Linked DNA regions of Tamandua tetradactyla. The protein of the gene in region 2 purifies or fractionates together with the protein of the main gene of each other region. This does not show direct contact. Links are inferred from orthologs where the notes say so. Each region holds a gene or a part of one and is shown on either strand. Other genes may lie near its edges.

Evidence for each region. The genes of interacting proteins can lie anywhere in the genome.
Region 1: the proteins of WASF2 (region 2) and BRK1 purify together in Homo sapiens (co-immunoprecipitation; 3 studies listed by BioGRID and IntAct, with this or other methods). This does not show direct contact. The link is inferred for Tamandua tetradactyla from reciprocal best matches to the Homo sapiens genes WASF2 and BRK1.

Annotation. Positions count from the first base shown.
Region 1 is NC_135335.1:39,042,861-39,050,239, forward strand, and holds the start of BRK1 (protein BRICK1), read right to left. Parts: upstream 3,196-7,379; 5' UTR 3,152-3,195; coding exon 3,034-3,151; intron 1-3,033. UniProt on the Homo sapiens protein: Involved in regulation of actin and microtubule organization. Part of a WAVE complex that activates the Arp2/3 complex. As component of the WAVE1 complex, required for BDNF-NTRK2 endocytic trafficking and signaling from early endosomes.
Region 2 is NC_135328.1:198,768,779-198,777,304, forward strand, and holds the start of WASF2 (actin-binding protein WASF2), read left to right. Parts: upstream 1-5,251; 5' UTR 5,252-5,420; intron 5,421-8,526. UniProt on the Homo sapiens protein: Downstream effector molecule involved in the transmission of signals from tyrosine kinase receptors and small GTPases to the actin cytoskeleton. Promotes formation of actin filaments. Part of the WAVE complex that regulates lamellipodia formation.

The sequences.
Region 1 (7,379 bases), on a different chromosome or scaffold from region 2:
TAGATCTCAAAATCACAAACTATAGATTTAGTGGTGTGATCTGACAGGAAGATGGATGCCAAAGATAAACGTATATGAACTAGAACTTTACTAATATAATTCTGAACTCAGAAATGAAGTTATTACATTATTTAGGATCTAAATTTGGGGACTGAAATCCTAGATCACTTTCAAATTTGGAAAAACAGTCTAGCTTATTTTAGATGGCTTACTAATTGAAATGATATATCTTGTTTGGATATTCTGTATGTATCAGAAATCAACTCCTCCCAGATAAAAAAGTCTTTAAGTTCTGCCTTTTAAAACAAAGTTAAATATATCAGTGATTTTTCCATGTACTTCCACTGCCTCTCTAGATTAAAGAAGAGTCTCAAAGCTATGATCCTGTCATCGTTTCATTCTTTCCCTAGCACGGATATTTTGGCTTCTCTTATCTAGCCCTTCCTCTAAGGGAATGCTATGAATAAAGAATGTGGTGAAGAACCCCCAACAATATTTCATCTCTCTAGGAAAGCAGGAGAAACTAGTGATGAGAACCAACATTCAAACTGTCGCCACAGAATGCAAACAGACCAGTATTTCTGAAATGTGTCCAGTTTATTAAAACCAATTACCTTAATCTCTTTGAACTTGGGTTTCCTGACTCCAAATCCACTCACTTTCTCCATTAAACCATACAACCTTATTATATTCCTCAAAACATTTCAGGATACATGAGGGCTATGCTTTTTTGACCACCATTTCCTACTCTCTATAACAACCTGTATGTGTGTACATCTAGCCCTGACATATACATCTATACTATACTACTGTCTTCTTTCATAAGGATAATCAATACCTTCATTCCCATTCCCTAATGAGTGAGGAAATCCACCATACTAAGACAAGCCTCTTCCTGGCAACGTGGGACAGAAATCCTAGAATGAGTTGACACTCAGCATCAGGGGACTGAGAAAACCTTCTCGACCAAAAGCGGGAAGAGTGAAATGAGACAAAATAAAGTGTCAATGGCTGAGAGATTCCAAACAGAGTCGAGAGGTTATCCTGGAGGTTATTCTCACACATTAAATAGATATCACCTTGTTATTCAAGATGTAATGGAGAGGCTGGAGGGAACTGCCTGAAAATGTAGAGCTGTGTTCCAGTAGCCATGTTTCTTGAAGATGACTGTATAATGATACAGCTTTCACAATGTGACTGTGTGATTGTGAAAACCTTGTGTTTGATGCTCCTTTTATCTACCTTATCAACAGACGAATAGAACATATGGAATAAAGATGAATAAGAGGGGGAACAAATGTTAAATTTAGATTGAAATGCTGGTGATCGGTGAGGGGAGGGGTGGGGGGTATGGTATGTATGAATTTTTTTCTGTTTTCTTTTTATTTCTTTTTCTGAATAGATGCAAATGTTCTAAGAAATGATCATGATGATTATGCAACTATGTGATGATATTGTGAATTACTGATTATATATGTAGAACAATGATCAAAAGTTAAGAATGTTTGCGTTTGTTTGGTGTTTAAAAAAAAATTCCGAAAAATAAAAAGATTTTAGTCCTGCAGATGAGTAAAAAATATGGATTAAAAATAAATATATAATAGGGGGAACAAACATTAAAATAAATTGGGTAGAAGGAAATACTAGTGGTCAATGAGAGGAAGGGATATGTATGTATGAATTTTTTCTTTTTATTTCTTTTTCTGGAGTGATGTAAATGTTCTGAGAAATGATCATGGTGATGAATATACAACTATGTGACGATATTGTGAGCCACTGATTGCACACCAAGTATGGAATGTTCATACATTAAGAATATTCGTGTTGTATATTGATTGGTTTTATTAATAAAAAATTTTTTTAAAAGATTATAGTCCTGTACATCTTGCACCTAATCATTTTAACAAAAAAACACAGAGCTCTGCTTTGTTTGAAGTTGTCATCACTTCATCTCGAAAATTAGAAATTACTTGGCAGGAAATTATTCTATGTCCCCCATAGTGTGCTCCCCCCACGCCCCCCCAGTGCCTGAGAGAATGCCTGGTACTGAGACTTAATTCCTCTTTTTGATGCTTTCTGACAACACTCTTGCTCTGTCACATTTATACTCTTTAGGACTCATCGGCCATCTAGCTAGAAAATAATTCATTAAAAAAAATTATACATCACTTTTCCATATTTAATCTTAATTGTTTAATGTTGAATTAATGTAACCAAAGCATACTTGGAGAACATGGAGTAGAATTTTGTACAGGCTTGCTCTCAAGAAGGGTATGGAATAGTGCAGAAAATTTTTACGACTGTCACAAGCACGATATACTAAAGAAAGATTCTGGCAAAGTTATCTCTATGCTCAAGTCTCCCGCCCTGTGTTAGCTGTGTGGAACCGGCTAGAAGCATAAAAAACACCCGCTTACAGCTATATGCTATATACCAGCAATACAGAGATTTCCACGGTCTTATAATGCTCTGGACTCTACCTATCTCTCTAACCTCAATTCCTACCGCTTTCAGCAAGCCCACGGTAATCAGGAAGGAAGGAACCGCGAGAGCAGTGGCTGAAGGGACGACGGAAAAAAATGCGGAAACAGCACGTAGCACGCAAAGCTTCGTCTTGACTCGAACGACATGGCGACATGTCCGCTCAAAAATCAAAACAGTCTTTAAGCAAGGGAGTGACAGTCGTTAAGAGTGAAAAGCAGGAACCGGGATGAAAGCGGGGCGCAAAAGAGGCAGAAGAAAAGCCGCAGAGAACGGATAGGGCCGCTTGAGATCGGACTGAGAAAAGGAAGGCCTTGGTGGATAAGGACTTGGTGGATCCAGCGTGGCCCATGAGCCCAGCCTGGGACAGGAAAACCCCACCGAAACTGTCTAAAGGAGCCTAGGGATCAGGGAGGGAGAAGTGCGGCCCGAAGGAGGATGCGAAAAAGAGCCAGAGCCGAGAGCTCCCGGCGTGCCCTATCAAAGCTTCTCCTCAGCGTCCCCGCCAAACCGCTTCGGAGGTCTCCCTACTCCCCCGGATCGCCCACTTACCGAACGAATTGAGAAAGTCCGCGATTTTCTTGATGCTGCTGGTGATGACCTCAATGTACTCCCGGTTTGCCCAATCCTGGTGAATCTCGCGCTGCACCGGATCCTCCTGGCCCGCCATGGCGGCCGCTGAAGGGAGAATAACTGCGCAGGCGCACCGTCCCTACAGGCCGCCAGTGCGCCTGCGCTGCCAATCAAACCCGCTGCCTTGACTCCCACGGACTCCGCGAGCACTGTGGTGCGTCTGCGCAGTGTTAAGTCCTCGGCTGCGTTCTTGCTCTTCTCCCACGCTCGGGAGAACAGATGCGGCGACTCAGGCCGGGAGAGTGGAATACGCACGTGTCAAAGCTACCCTGTAACCCGCCGTTGTGGTCGTTAGAAGGCGCTTGGGCCAGTGTCACCAGCTCTTTCATCTGCTCCAAACTAAGGAGGCGCAGTATGTGTCAGCAGTGAGGTGGGCACAGCAGTTTAAACCACACTACATACAAGTCATTTAAAAAACGTTTCCAACAACGCAACGTGACATCCCTCCTTGTATATATCAAATTAACAAAACGTGTTTTTAAAGTTAAATAACTAGTGATGGCAAGGCTGAGGTGAAATTGGTAGGATCATAAATAGTTGATCACATTGTCCCTTGAGAAGGAAATTTGATAACTGCCGTTTGACCTAATATCCTTAAGAAAATCATTGAAAAGGAAAAAAAAAGAAACCACAAAATAACTTAAAGCTTAAAGGTGCTCTTTGAAGAATTATCAAAACAAAATAAATCTCCAGCAATAGGGAATAACTAAGCAAAGGTATAGCCACTTAAGGCAACACCATGCAGTCATTTAAAAAGTATGGTAATGTGAAAACATGATACATTAAAGGGAAAAACAAAATACAAAATTTTCTTTCATTGCTGCTTGAGGACAAGAAAGATATACCAAAATGTCAATATCTGATTTGTTAAAATAATGGAATTGCAAACTTTTTGTTTCAAGGAATATTTACAATCTGATTTGTGCTGTAAAAGCCTTTTATTAAAAAGTGGCTGAAGAGTCATTTCTTCTAGTAGTAGCTGAGAAGAAACCATTACTAACAGTCCTTTACTTGGGTGGAAGATTTTACAACCTATAAAGACACTTTTATATAGCATCCTCACAAACCCTTTGAGAAGTCAGGAAGAGGTTATGTTATCATCATTTATTTATATAATTATTTTCTGGAGGACACATTCATTTTCAAAGCTAAATCCAAGACAGGTTATAAGGCACACCCAGAGAAAATAGTATTGTTATTTCCCGAAGAGAGGTTCTATACCTTGAAATAATTTTTTTCAGGGTATTAGTAAGAAGGGCTATTCATGCAGAACAATAATAAAAATAAATAACAATAATAAGCAAAGGCCAAAATTTCAGGCACATGAAATATGAACATATTGTCTTCACATTTATTTCAAGTTGACTTGATTAAGTAGATACATCCAGGTATATCTAGCCACATTAAGCAGTGTAATTTTTCAGAGAATCTCTGATATACTTAGAGAGAAGGGTAACTTCAGGCCAAAACATTTTATTTCTTCGGGAAATAACAAGTTTAGTTCATGGGAAGATGGTTGAAATTTTGCTTCATGGCTTGTGTTTTCTGGAAAACGAAGAAATAAAGCATGAAACCTAAGAATCCTTTCCTCCTTCTCCTGGCTCTTCTCCTCTCACCTTCCTCTTTTTTTTTCCCCCTTCTACTCCCTCCTTGGTATTTTCCTCAATCTCTTTTGTCAATGTCTCTCCCTCTTCTTCTTTTGGAATTTGAAGAGGTTGCCCCCATCTTCATCGCCCTCGTTTTGTGTCTTATTTTCTTCACATTCTTCATCCTTCCTCTGATCCCTCTGTGGTGCTCTGCTGCTACATCACCACTGGGAAGGGAAGATGCTTCTTTGAGTGATTTCGCTGCCTTTATCATATAAATTGAGATTGATCTGAGAATTTTTGTGAGGGTAATAGTTTACGTTTCAAAATCTTTTAACCATTCAGGTATGTGTATCTTCATCCCTCATCTGATGTTTACAACAACCCAGACTCCATTATCTTTTCACTGTACCACACTGAAAATAGGCTCAAGTCTATCCGAGCTCTTCCACATATTCACACAAATCATTTCTAAAGTAATTGATATTGACAACTAAGGAGCCCTAGGCACCCATGAAGGCCCCCTTCCAATCAAGACCCCGCTTTTCCAACTGATGCTGTTGAAGTAGTATATGGCTCACATGCCTCAGAAATCAGACAGACCTTTTCCTTTAAAAGGAAGGCCATTTCGGTTTCAAATCTCAAATCTAGAGATGAGTCTTTTTACCCCCCTGAGCTTTCGCTCCTTCAAGTGTATTACTAAAATAACAACCTCAGTGGGTTGGGACTGTTGGAAGGATTATGCAAGCAAGGCTAAAGTAAAAACTAAGAACAGAGCCTAACGAAGCAAAGGACTCAAGATAAGTTAACATTTTCTTCTTATGCAGAAAGTAGCAATAAAATACACCTATAGCTGTCCAGCAATTTCTAACCATACAGTGTTGTTTTGGAGACTTTCATTAAAAAAAAAGGCAATAAAAACAACTGTTTTGCCTGCTTTTTAAATATCAGGTATCTCTCTTATTCAAGGGGAAAATTAAAAAAAAAATTACTGGGGGAAAAAGTTTTGTAATTAAAAAATCTTTTGCATCTCTTCCAAATCTCATCATTCTCCTTCCCTCTTTCCATTTTTTGTCTTCCCTCTAACCTCTTTCCACTTACCTCTCCTGCAGGGCATGCAAACATGCACAGTGAGCATCTGACAATGCTTCACAAGCTCCTTAAACCTATCTGCTTCCTGGCCAGGATCTATCCTTCAGCTTCACTTAAAGAACCAGAGAAGGAGACAGCCCTTATTTTTGCTGCCTTCTACAGCTTGCAGAGTACAAGGCAATTTCTGGGTGTATAATGGAAGAGCAGGTAGGTAGTTAATTTCTCTCACAAATACTTCATACTGCCAGGCACTGGGACTCTGAAGGTGAACTGGTTAGATGTCCCTTCTTTCTTTGGTGACCCAGGATAATTGTTTGAGATGATGTTTTACAAAGTTGTCAAATCACTCTTTTACTGTGGTGAAAGTGTCATCTTTTACCATTGTAAGGATGGGACAGGATCATACTTTTCGAGATGTAATAGAAGGTAGTGAAAGGTTTTTGGTCAGAAAGTGAAGGAAAGACGTGTTATCATCTATCTTCTTGCTTTTGATGGCCTGGCGTTTATGAAGTTCTGTCTCCTTGTACTGGGATCTTTCCAATACAGCAACATACAGCTTCAGAGCCTAGATAAACTACCTGAACATCCACCGAACAGGGTGTAATGTAAATCCGGGGCTTTAATTCTGGTTCCTGACCTCTCAAGCGTGCCAGTCTTCTGTTCCATGTGTTGGAATGGATGCTGAGATTGAGACTTGATCAAAGGCGCACAGGCAGGGAGGGGTGGTGGGGAGAATGGGGAATCGAACCCGCGCTCCTCAAGGCTCAGTCCCCGGCCAAGGGTTCCCAGGAGATGGGAGTGGGGAGATCAGCCCCTAAGGCCGTCAGCTGGCGCGCCTCGAGCCCTAACCTCCCCCCCCCCCCCCCCCCCCCCCCGACCCCCACGCCGCGGCTCAAGATCCCGGGTCACAAAGGCGGTTGCCAGGCACCCGGTGGAGAAAAGATGCGGCCCGGGACCGGCGACCGCCACTCTGGAGCGTGGGCCCACGGAGTTCAGGAGGTGAGCCCCCGGCCCTGATGGTGGCACCGGGCTCGGGCTCCCACCACCACCTCCGTCTTGGCCAGAGCCGTGTGGCCCCCGCCCCCCGGTAGGGATCCCCGGGAAACAAGCCCCTTCTCCGGGCTGGGAGGGGGTGCCGCCTCCACTCCCGGCAGCTCCGACCTCTCCAGATCTCCGTTCACAGTTCACGAGGACCTCAGCTGCACTTTGGCGCTGTCCTTCCCTTTCCCAGGTGGGGAAATCAAGGGATGGAATTCCTTGAACGGGAGGAGTGGTAGGAAGGGGAAGCCTGTTTGGCCAGAAAGAGGCATCTCTTCTCTGGGAGACATTAGAGCAACTTGAAAAGACTTCCTAGGTTCACCACCTCCCACCCCCCGAAGTAGATGATGGGACTTCCGAATGGTGGGGGTGGGGATGAACTGGTAGAAAGGCCCTGGAGTCAGGAGCCCTTCATTCCGCCTTGGTTCTGCCGAATATCTGTGCTGGACCTTTGATAAAACCTTGCACCTATTTCTCTATTTTGTCAGAGGAGATGAGTTGGGAAAAGGATCCTGGAATTAAATGTGTTTTTTAGTCATATGCCGGGAG
Region 2 (8,526 bases):
CATTTGTCCTAGTGGCAGCCTGAAAGACAGGGATCCTTGTCCCCTTTGACAAAGAAATGAGGTGAAGGCAGGTTGAGCAGCTTGCTGGGGTCATTCACTGGGTACATGGCAGCAATGGGATTGGAACCCATTTCTCTCCGGCCCCGCTGTGTCCCTCCCCCCCCCCCACCCCTTCTCTGACTGAGGCATTTGCCTGCGGGAGGAGGAGGAGGAGATGGTTTGATGGGAATCGGGAGGCTTCATTGAGCTGGGGCTGCTGCAGCAGAGCGGCAGGCGTTTTTCCAGAGCTTTCATTTCCGTCTGCCTCTTCTGAGCAGGTGAAAAACCCCACAGAGGGCCCTTCACTGAGTCCTCCCCGCTTTCCTCCCCCTCCTCGTGCTGCCTCATCCCCCACGCTGGGAGAGGGGAGGTGAGGCATGCAGTGTGGGGGATGCAGGGGAGGGGAATGAGGAGGTAGGGGAGCGTCACTCTGGATCCTTCCTCTCCAGCAACCCCCCCCCCCCCAATCACCACCACCACTTCCCCATCAAAGGCGCTCTAGGAGGAGAGAGCATTCCAGGTGGAAGGAATGGCAAATGCAAAGGCTATGGATTAAGGATGTGGAGGCGGGGAAAGCCTGCAAGCTTGGCTGGAACCAAGGTTTGGGGCCCCCTGGGATTGCTCAGTGGAAAAGAACTTGTGAGAATGAAGAGAGAGTGAGAGAGAGAGAGAGAGAGAGAGAGAGAGAGAGGAGAGAGAGAGAGAGAGAGAGAGAGAGAGAGAGAGAGAGAGAGAGAGAGAGAGAGAGAGAGAGAGAGAGAGAGAGGAGAGAGAGAGGAGAGAGAGAGAGAGAGAGAGAGAGAGAGAGAGAGAGAGAGAGAGAGAGAGAGGAGAGAGAGAGAGAGAGAGAGAGAGAGAGAGAGAGAGAGAGAGGAGAGAGAGGAGAGAGAGAGAGAGAGAGAGAGAGAGAGAGAGAGAGAGAGAGAGAGAGGAGAGAGAGGAGAGAGAGAGAGAGAGAGAGAGAAAGAGAGAGAGAGAGATCTAGTGGTCCCAGCAAGAGCTAAGGATGCAAAGAGAGAGAGGGTGGTGGGCGACAATCATGGGCTGCAAGCACAGTGCACTCTATCCTTTTCCCCTTAGATTGGGGTGTGGGGGCGCAGCATTGAGAGACTTTCTGTACCCATTGTTTGGTTCTTCCCCCTGGAATGCCTCAGCAGGCTGCACTCAGCCAGCTCTGAACTAGGCGCTGGCTCCTGGCTTTCTGCACATCCTCTCATAGTATTTTCTCTCCAACTCTTTGAAATCAGTATTAGTCACTCCATTTTATAGATGGAGAAACTGAGGCTGAACCAGGTTTACACAGGGTGCCAAAGGCAGAGCTGGGACCTGAAGTCGCCTGCTATCTCGCCTAGGTTGCTTTCCTCCGGAAGGGATCGCCATCCCCATAGCAACAATGAGAGGAACTCCAGCGTGGACTGCATTTCATATTTTATGCAGGCCTAATTTCTTCTGCTCTTCACACCGGACCTGTAGGCAGAGCTGTTATAATCCTTTTTTCATAGATAAGGAAACTGAGGCTCAGAGACGCAGTGTGACTTTGCCAAGATAGAGCCATAAGTGGCAAAGTTGGGATTCAGACCCAGTCTGGTACACCAAATGTCCTTTGCTTCCCCTTGCAGAAGCAGAGGGTCTGGTCTCTGCTCTTACCAGCCTCAGGAATAGGGAACAGGCATTTTTAACAGGCATTTTAACAGGTATTAAAAACAGGTTATTTTTTAAATTTAGTGCAAAAGGAACAGGGCTTGGTCTTGGGAAACTGGGGACTTGCCAGGAGCAGGGAACAATTTCACCTCTAACTCCTTGGATAGAAGAGCAGCAGCAAGTCCTTTCAAGTTTCCTGGTTGGGTTTGAATCCCAACTGTACTTATTCCTGACTGGTTGACTTTAGGCAAGTCACTTAACCTCTCTGTGCCTCTTTTACCTCATCTATAAAATGGGGGATAAGTACAACAAGACAACTTACAGGAAGGCTGTGGGGATTAAATGAATTAAAACATGTAAAGCACTCAGCACACGCCTGCTCCATAATAAATGCTCAATAAATGTTAGTGCCTGTTATTACTATTGATATGCGCTCATCCCTTGAAAACAACTTGTCTATCACCATTGCCTCAAAGGAGAAACTGAGACTCCTGTTGTCAGTCAACCTTCAAAGAAAGCCCGAGATCTTTATTTCCAGGGCAGGTAGTAATTTGATATTAACAATAATAATCATGGGTGGGCCACAGTGGCTCAGCAGAAAAGAATGCTCGCCTGCCATGCCAGAGGACCTGGGTTCGATTCCGGGTGCCTGCCCATGTGAAAAAAAACAACAACAAAAAAACAATAATAATCATTATTAGAGTTAATAGGAGCTTCACATTTATTATATCACTTAATTCTCACAGTTTTGGGAAACAGAAACAATTATTTTTTTATTTTTATTTTTTACATGGGCAGGCACCGGGAATTGAACCCGGGTCCTCGGGCTTGGCAGGCAAGCATTCTTACCTGCTGAGCCACCGTGGCCCGCCCGAAACAGAAACAATTATGATCCCCATTTTATGCATAAGTAAAACGGAGGCTCAAAGAGGCTAAGTCACCTGTCCGAGGTCACACAGCTAGGAAGTAGTGTATCCGGGATTTGAACTGAGGCTTGTCTGGCTCCACAGTCTCTTAAGACAATTAGAGTCAGATGACAACTCATCCAGTGCATAGCTGCCCCACACAGCTTTCTCCCAAATGTATCTGCTGGATCTGCTGCCTCAGGCTCACCTCCCTCCATGCCAGAAAAATTGAGCACTGTTTATGGGCCGGGATGCTTTATACACCTTTCTGCATTCAATCGTTATCCTCACCTTATGACCCGCTATCATTATCTGCATTTCTCAGAAGAGTAGCTGAGGCACAGAAAAATGTGATGATTGCTTAAGGCAACACACTCCTAGGTGGCAGAGTCGAAATTCAGCTCCATGCAGATTTGCCTCAAAGCTGATATTCTTTCAGGGACTCTAAAAGAAGTGCAGAGATCCTTGGAGAATAGCCCAATTTTCAAGGCCAGGTACCCTCATTCTTCAACAATTTGGTGTCCCACAAGGTCTTGTGAGCCCTGCCCCTCCCCACTGCCACCAAGTCCATTGGCCTAGATGCCTTTTCACGTCTAGGCCTGTAACTTCTCCCCACCTGTCTTGTTAACCCCCACTTATCCATTTCACATTAGACATCTCTTCCCAGGGAAGTCTCCTGCCCCATCTCTAGAAGTTCACTTTCATAAGCACATTGTAGTTTGCCTTCTTGCTCCTTATCACGGTTTCTAACTGTATTTTGATTTGTGTGATCATTTGTTCAAAGACTTTCTTCTTCACAAGACTCTAAGCGACATGAGGGTCCAAATCTGTTTTATTCACCATCGTGGCTGCAGCACTGGCAGGCTGCCCTGCATGTTGTTGGTGCTTAATAATTTATTGAACAAATGCATCCACGAATGAATATATAACTACGGGGCACTTGACACACACGGCTCATTGATTTCACAGTTAACTCATTTAACCTCACAAGTGCCCTGTTATCCCCACCTTTGAGAAAAAGTTGATGAAGGTCAGTACTGCTTTCTGCAGTAGAACTTGGATTCAATCTCAAGTCAGTCTGACCTCAAAGCCACTGCATACTGCATAGCACCTGCTGTCACCTAGCACCAAACGCCACAGTTAGGATTTAAATAGTCACAGGTAGTCAAACCACACATCCCAGTTGAGCCTGGAGGTCCACAGCACTGGGGCCCTGTCGACACCACACCCTTTTGGCCAGATTTGTCCTTCCAAAGTTTTAGGCTGCTCCCCTTCTCACTCCCTTCTTGGCTTTCTTCATTTTTAGAAAGGGAAAGGGACTAGGGATTACAGCCAAGACAGCCCTTCTGGGAAAAACAATCCTGTGGTGAAAAAAGGCCTGTTGTGCGAGCAGAGAGACCTGGATTTAAGTCTTGGCATGAAGGCTGCCTTGCTGAGGGCACACAATGGGGTCACTGCCCCTCTCAGAGTTTCTGTGTCATTTGGGATACTGCCGGGGCTGCTGAGCGGCCAGTAGTCTTTTACTCTTGATTCCTAGGGTCCCCAATTCTGAAGGTCACTTTTCCCCACAAATCTTGGTGACTGACAATAGCTAGGGCCCAAATCTATGGTGACCAAAGAGGTGTGGGAAATTCTGCCCTCTTTCCCCAAGACCCTTTCTGGAAGGCTAGGGGATGGGGGAGGGAAGTCTTTTTCAGGTGACACGGAGCCTGGGAGAAAAAAAGGAATGGAAGATTAAAGACAAAGAGTTGAGTCTCACTCAGGGCTGTTTCCAATTCCCTAGGGGACCCTTGGCATGTCAAAATATCCCCAGACTAGGTTTTCTCTTCTACAAAAACGAGGACAATACTTGCCCTACACAGGGTAGCTCTGGAGAACCAACGCAGATATCTTTGCTAACTTGTGAATTTGTCACTTCGTTATCCAGCTGCAGCCTTTTATAATCAATGGACATACACACCCATTTATGCATAAATCCTCAACCATCCCAGGGAGTGAGGCAGGCGTGATTGTTCCTATTTTGCAGAAGGACAAACTGAGACCATGAAGTTCAGGGACTTGTCGGTGGTCACAGAGTGAAGTGGCGACTGAATTGGGTCCAATTCACCTGACCCAATACAAAGGGCCTTTCAGAACCAGCTCCCAGTCCCAGGGGCCCTTGCCTCTCCTACGGCGAAACCTTCCATCGCGGGGTAGAGCCAGTGACTCAACCTCATCCCCACCCTACTTTCGGCCGAGTCTGGACCCGGAGGAAAGGGACAAAACTATCTGCAACTTGAGGGGGAGTACATAGAAAGTTCACGGACTTGGTCCCTTCCTTCCACCCAAAATACTGGTCCTTTAAGCTCTACCAAGAAGAATTAGAATTTCTATACACTTTGTATGAGTTTTTATACGTTCTTACATGGAATTCTCCTACCCTGTATTTAGGAGTTGATTTACTTTAATCTATACTCCCACTTCACTTGGTTTGCTCCCTGCTGTTTACTCCGTTTGCGGAAGTCGCTCGGGTGGAGCTCCCGGGACTCTACCCTTGGGTGCGTCTTTTGCGTATTTATTTAACTGACATTCCACTTAAGCCAATGGACTGCTCCGAAGCCCCAGGAGGGCGGGGCAGAGAACCAATCAGGGCTGTCGGCGGGGTGTGGCTGCGTCCTAGGGCGGGGAATCGCGTAATGGCGGACGCAGGCCGGGCGAGCGCGGCTGGGGGCGTTTCGCGCTGAGGGGGGTCCGGCTGTGTGGCAGGCTGTGAGACGGCCGGCTGAAGCAGACCCTGTGCGGAGACAGGGTGGCTGGCCGACGTTTCTGTCGCTGAGGGCGCCCGCGCGAGGCCAGGTGAGCAACAAGTCCCTTCGGGCGGGCGCCACCATTCCGCGGCACGGCACCCGGCCCATCCTCCGCTCCCGGGAGCGCAGGGTCCGGGAGGAGTGGGTGCCGAGCCTCCTGCTGCGGCCTGGAAGAAACCGGGCGAGCCATCTGCGCCGGGTGACTTCTTACTACACATTCCTCACTTCCAGGGGCCGGAAACTCGGGGTTCCCTTAGGAAACTTGGAGGGGCCCCGGGTCTGTAAGCCTGCGAAAATGCCTGAGCTGGCTCTGCCACTTTCTGTGTGACCTTGGACAAGTCACTTCCTTCTCTGAGTCTACTTTCTCCATTTGCAAGACGGAGGCTTTGTAGGCAGACAGATATACATGGATGTTGTCTGAGATATTGAGCAAGTTCTTCCCCAGGCTGAGCCTACATTTCCATTTCAGGACCAAGAAATATTTCTGGAGCTCCCAGCCTGCTAAGTTGCTGAGTGGTCGAGAGGACATTAAGGTGTGTGTGTGTGTGTGTCTGTGTGTCTGTGTGTCTGTGTGTGTGTGTGTAGGATGGATTGCAGAGTAAAAGAGTGGGCTCAAGCGGTTCCCCCAGCAATGCTCTAGATGCCACACAGAGACCATGATGGAGTGGGACCAGATAGTCTTGGCCCTCCAGAAATCGTACAGCCTTTGAAATGGGGAATTTTTATACAATTGGGTATAGAATCAGAGAAGAGGAAGAGGTTCTTGGACCCTCTTGGAGCTGCGATTTGATCTTATGGCCTAGAAGAAGTTAGGAGGAGGAGAGAGAAGAACATTTATGCTGCTCCTCTTACTATGTGTATGTATTATTTAATTTTTACAGTAACCCTTGAGAATTTACACACGAGGAAACAAAATTTCCGAGAAATTAAGTAACTTACTCAAGGTCACACAGTAAGGTGCAGAGCTTACCAGTGTTAAAGTGTTTCCTCTGAATCACTGGCCAAGGGTAGTCACTGCCCATTTAAAAGATAGTAGTGGGAAAGTTTGCTTTCTCACAGAGGGGGAGGGGTCTGGCCCTGGTGCTTGATTTGACTCCTGGCCTGGAGATTGGCTGGGTGGTGATTCCTAGATGGTTTATTAAAAGTCCGTCCCCTTTCTTCAGTTGTGAAAAGAAAAGGACCATTTCTAAGTTGTATAAGTCACTTTAAAGTGTATCAAAACTCAGAGGGCTCAGTTTGAAACCTGGCCTTGTGGCCTGTAGAAGAAAGTTCACTGGCACTTCATGTACGAACCAAATCCTTTATTCGGGTTGTGCCAGCCCAGTAACTTCCTTTCCTCCTTAAGAAGGCTACATTTTCTTGGGATGGGAGACTTTTCCTCTTTTCCTATTTGTTAGTTCGAATTTCTTTAGATTTGAGGGATGAAAGATTCAATACCCTGCCTCTGATTGAGTATAATGTTTCTTTGTTTTACCTGACTTGTAGGTGAGCAAAGATTGTGAACCTGTGGGAAGTGAGGAGGTGGGGGTAGTTGAGTACCATAAATTGCAGCGTTTAATTTTTACAAACCTCAGAGCTTTTGGTTAATCAAAATGATAGGACCCGCAGTGGGTATTGTTCTCGTATGTCAATGGTGGGGAAGAAAATTGGAAGAGGAAGTTGCTGAGAAAAAGGGCGTTTCTTAGCAGTGAAGCCAATATGTATTTCTTTGTTTGAAATTCTAAAACCAGAAAAGCAGCAACTAAAGGAAGGAAAGAACTATGAAACTTCTCTTCCCCTTCAAATATCTTGACGCGCTGCTTCTGTCAGAGGCTCTGCTTTCACAGAAAAAGTCCATTGTAATTTGTCAACTTTCAGAAATTGAACTCTAGAATGAAATGATTTTAAATCTTAAACCTTCCAAGATAATTTATAAATAAATCAGAACATTTTAATGAGTAAGTTAGTTATTGTAGATGATCCTTTTACTCAGCATAATTACCAGTTCAATCTTTGGCTGTGTTTTTACTGTGATTTAGTCAGATTTCAACCTAAGAGGAAATGATCTAGATATTATATAATGCACATGTTGCCATCACTTGGAAAACAACATAATGGTGTGTTTGGTTTTCGTCATTTATTAAAAGTCCTTTTAATGCTTCATTTTCCAGGGTTGTGTGTGTACAGTAGTTAAGGCCTTGAATTTATTGCATGTAAAGATCTAGGTTCATCCTCAGTATTTGTCATGGTCAGGTTCGTGTGTCAACTTGGCAGCTATACACATCACTTTAAACCAAGTTTAATCTTTAAATAGAAAACTCAGGCTACTCTTTGCTTTTCTCGGATACCTCTACTGTAGAGTGATGTGAACTAGTATTGTTGGAGGATGAAGGATTGTTTCTTCTCTTTAGAGGAAGCCCCATGACAGCATGAACTTGAGGGATTCTTTCCTTAATTCTGGGCCTTAATTCATCTTCCCTCTTGGAGTGACTCCATAGTCCCAGAGAATGGTTCCTTTAAACTGTGTGGGAGGTAGAAGGAGTGTAGAACTGTGTATCAGGAGTTACTGGTGGAGTTGATCTATAGTTGGACTAGGAAATTATTACTATCCAAATTGCCCCAGTTTCTTCTCTTTAACTTCATAAGCCCTGATAATATTGCAAAAGGATTAAATTTAGTTAACTAGAATCCTATTCCAATTTACCCTGGTGTGGCTGGGTAAGCTCTTGAGGACAGGAAGAGTATCTTATATTTCTTTTGTATTCCTTAATGCCCAAAGGCCAGAGCATGAAATTTGTCTTGCATCAGAATTACTTACAGAGCTTTTAAAAAATATACCTATCTGGCCTAGGACCTCTGATATCAGCAATACACAGTCCAGTTGAGAACAATTGACATAAGCACAGTGTAGGTGTTCAGTAAATATTTGTTTAATTTGCCATTGGTCTTGGCATGGGTTGGGTAGGGTGGGAGTTTACCCAGATTTTTCATAAAGTAAAATAGCTTTCTAAGATAACAGCACACATCTAACGGTTGGCAGATCTGGACCCATGGTTGGTGTAGTTCATTGCCGGATATTCTGTCAACATTACCATTCTCAGGCAGGATTGAATGTAGTCTATCAAAAGGCAACTAGAAGTTTTGTTTTCTCCTTGAGTGGTGGCCTTCCTAAGATA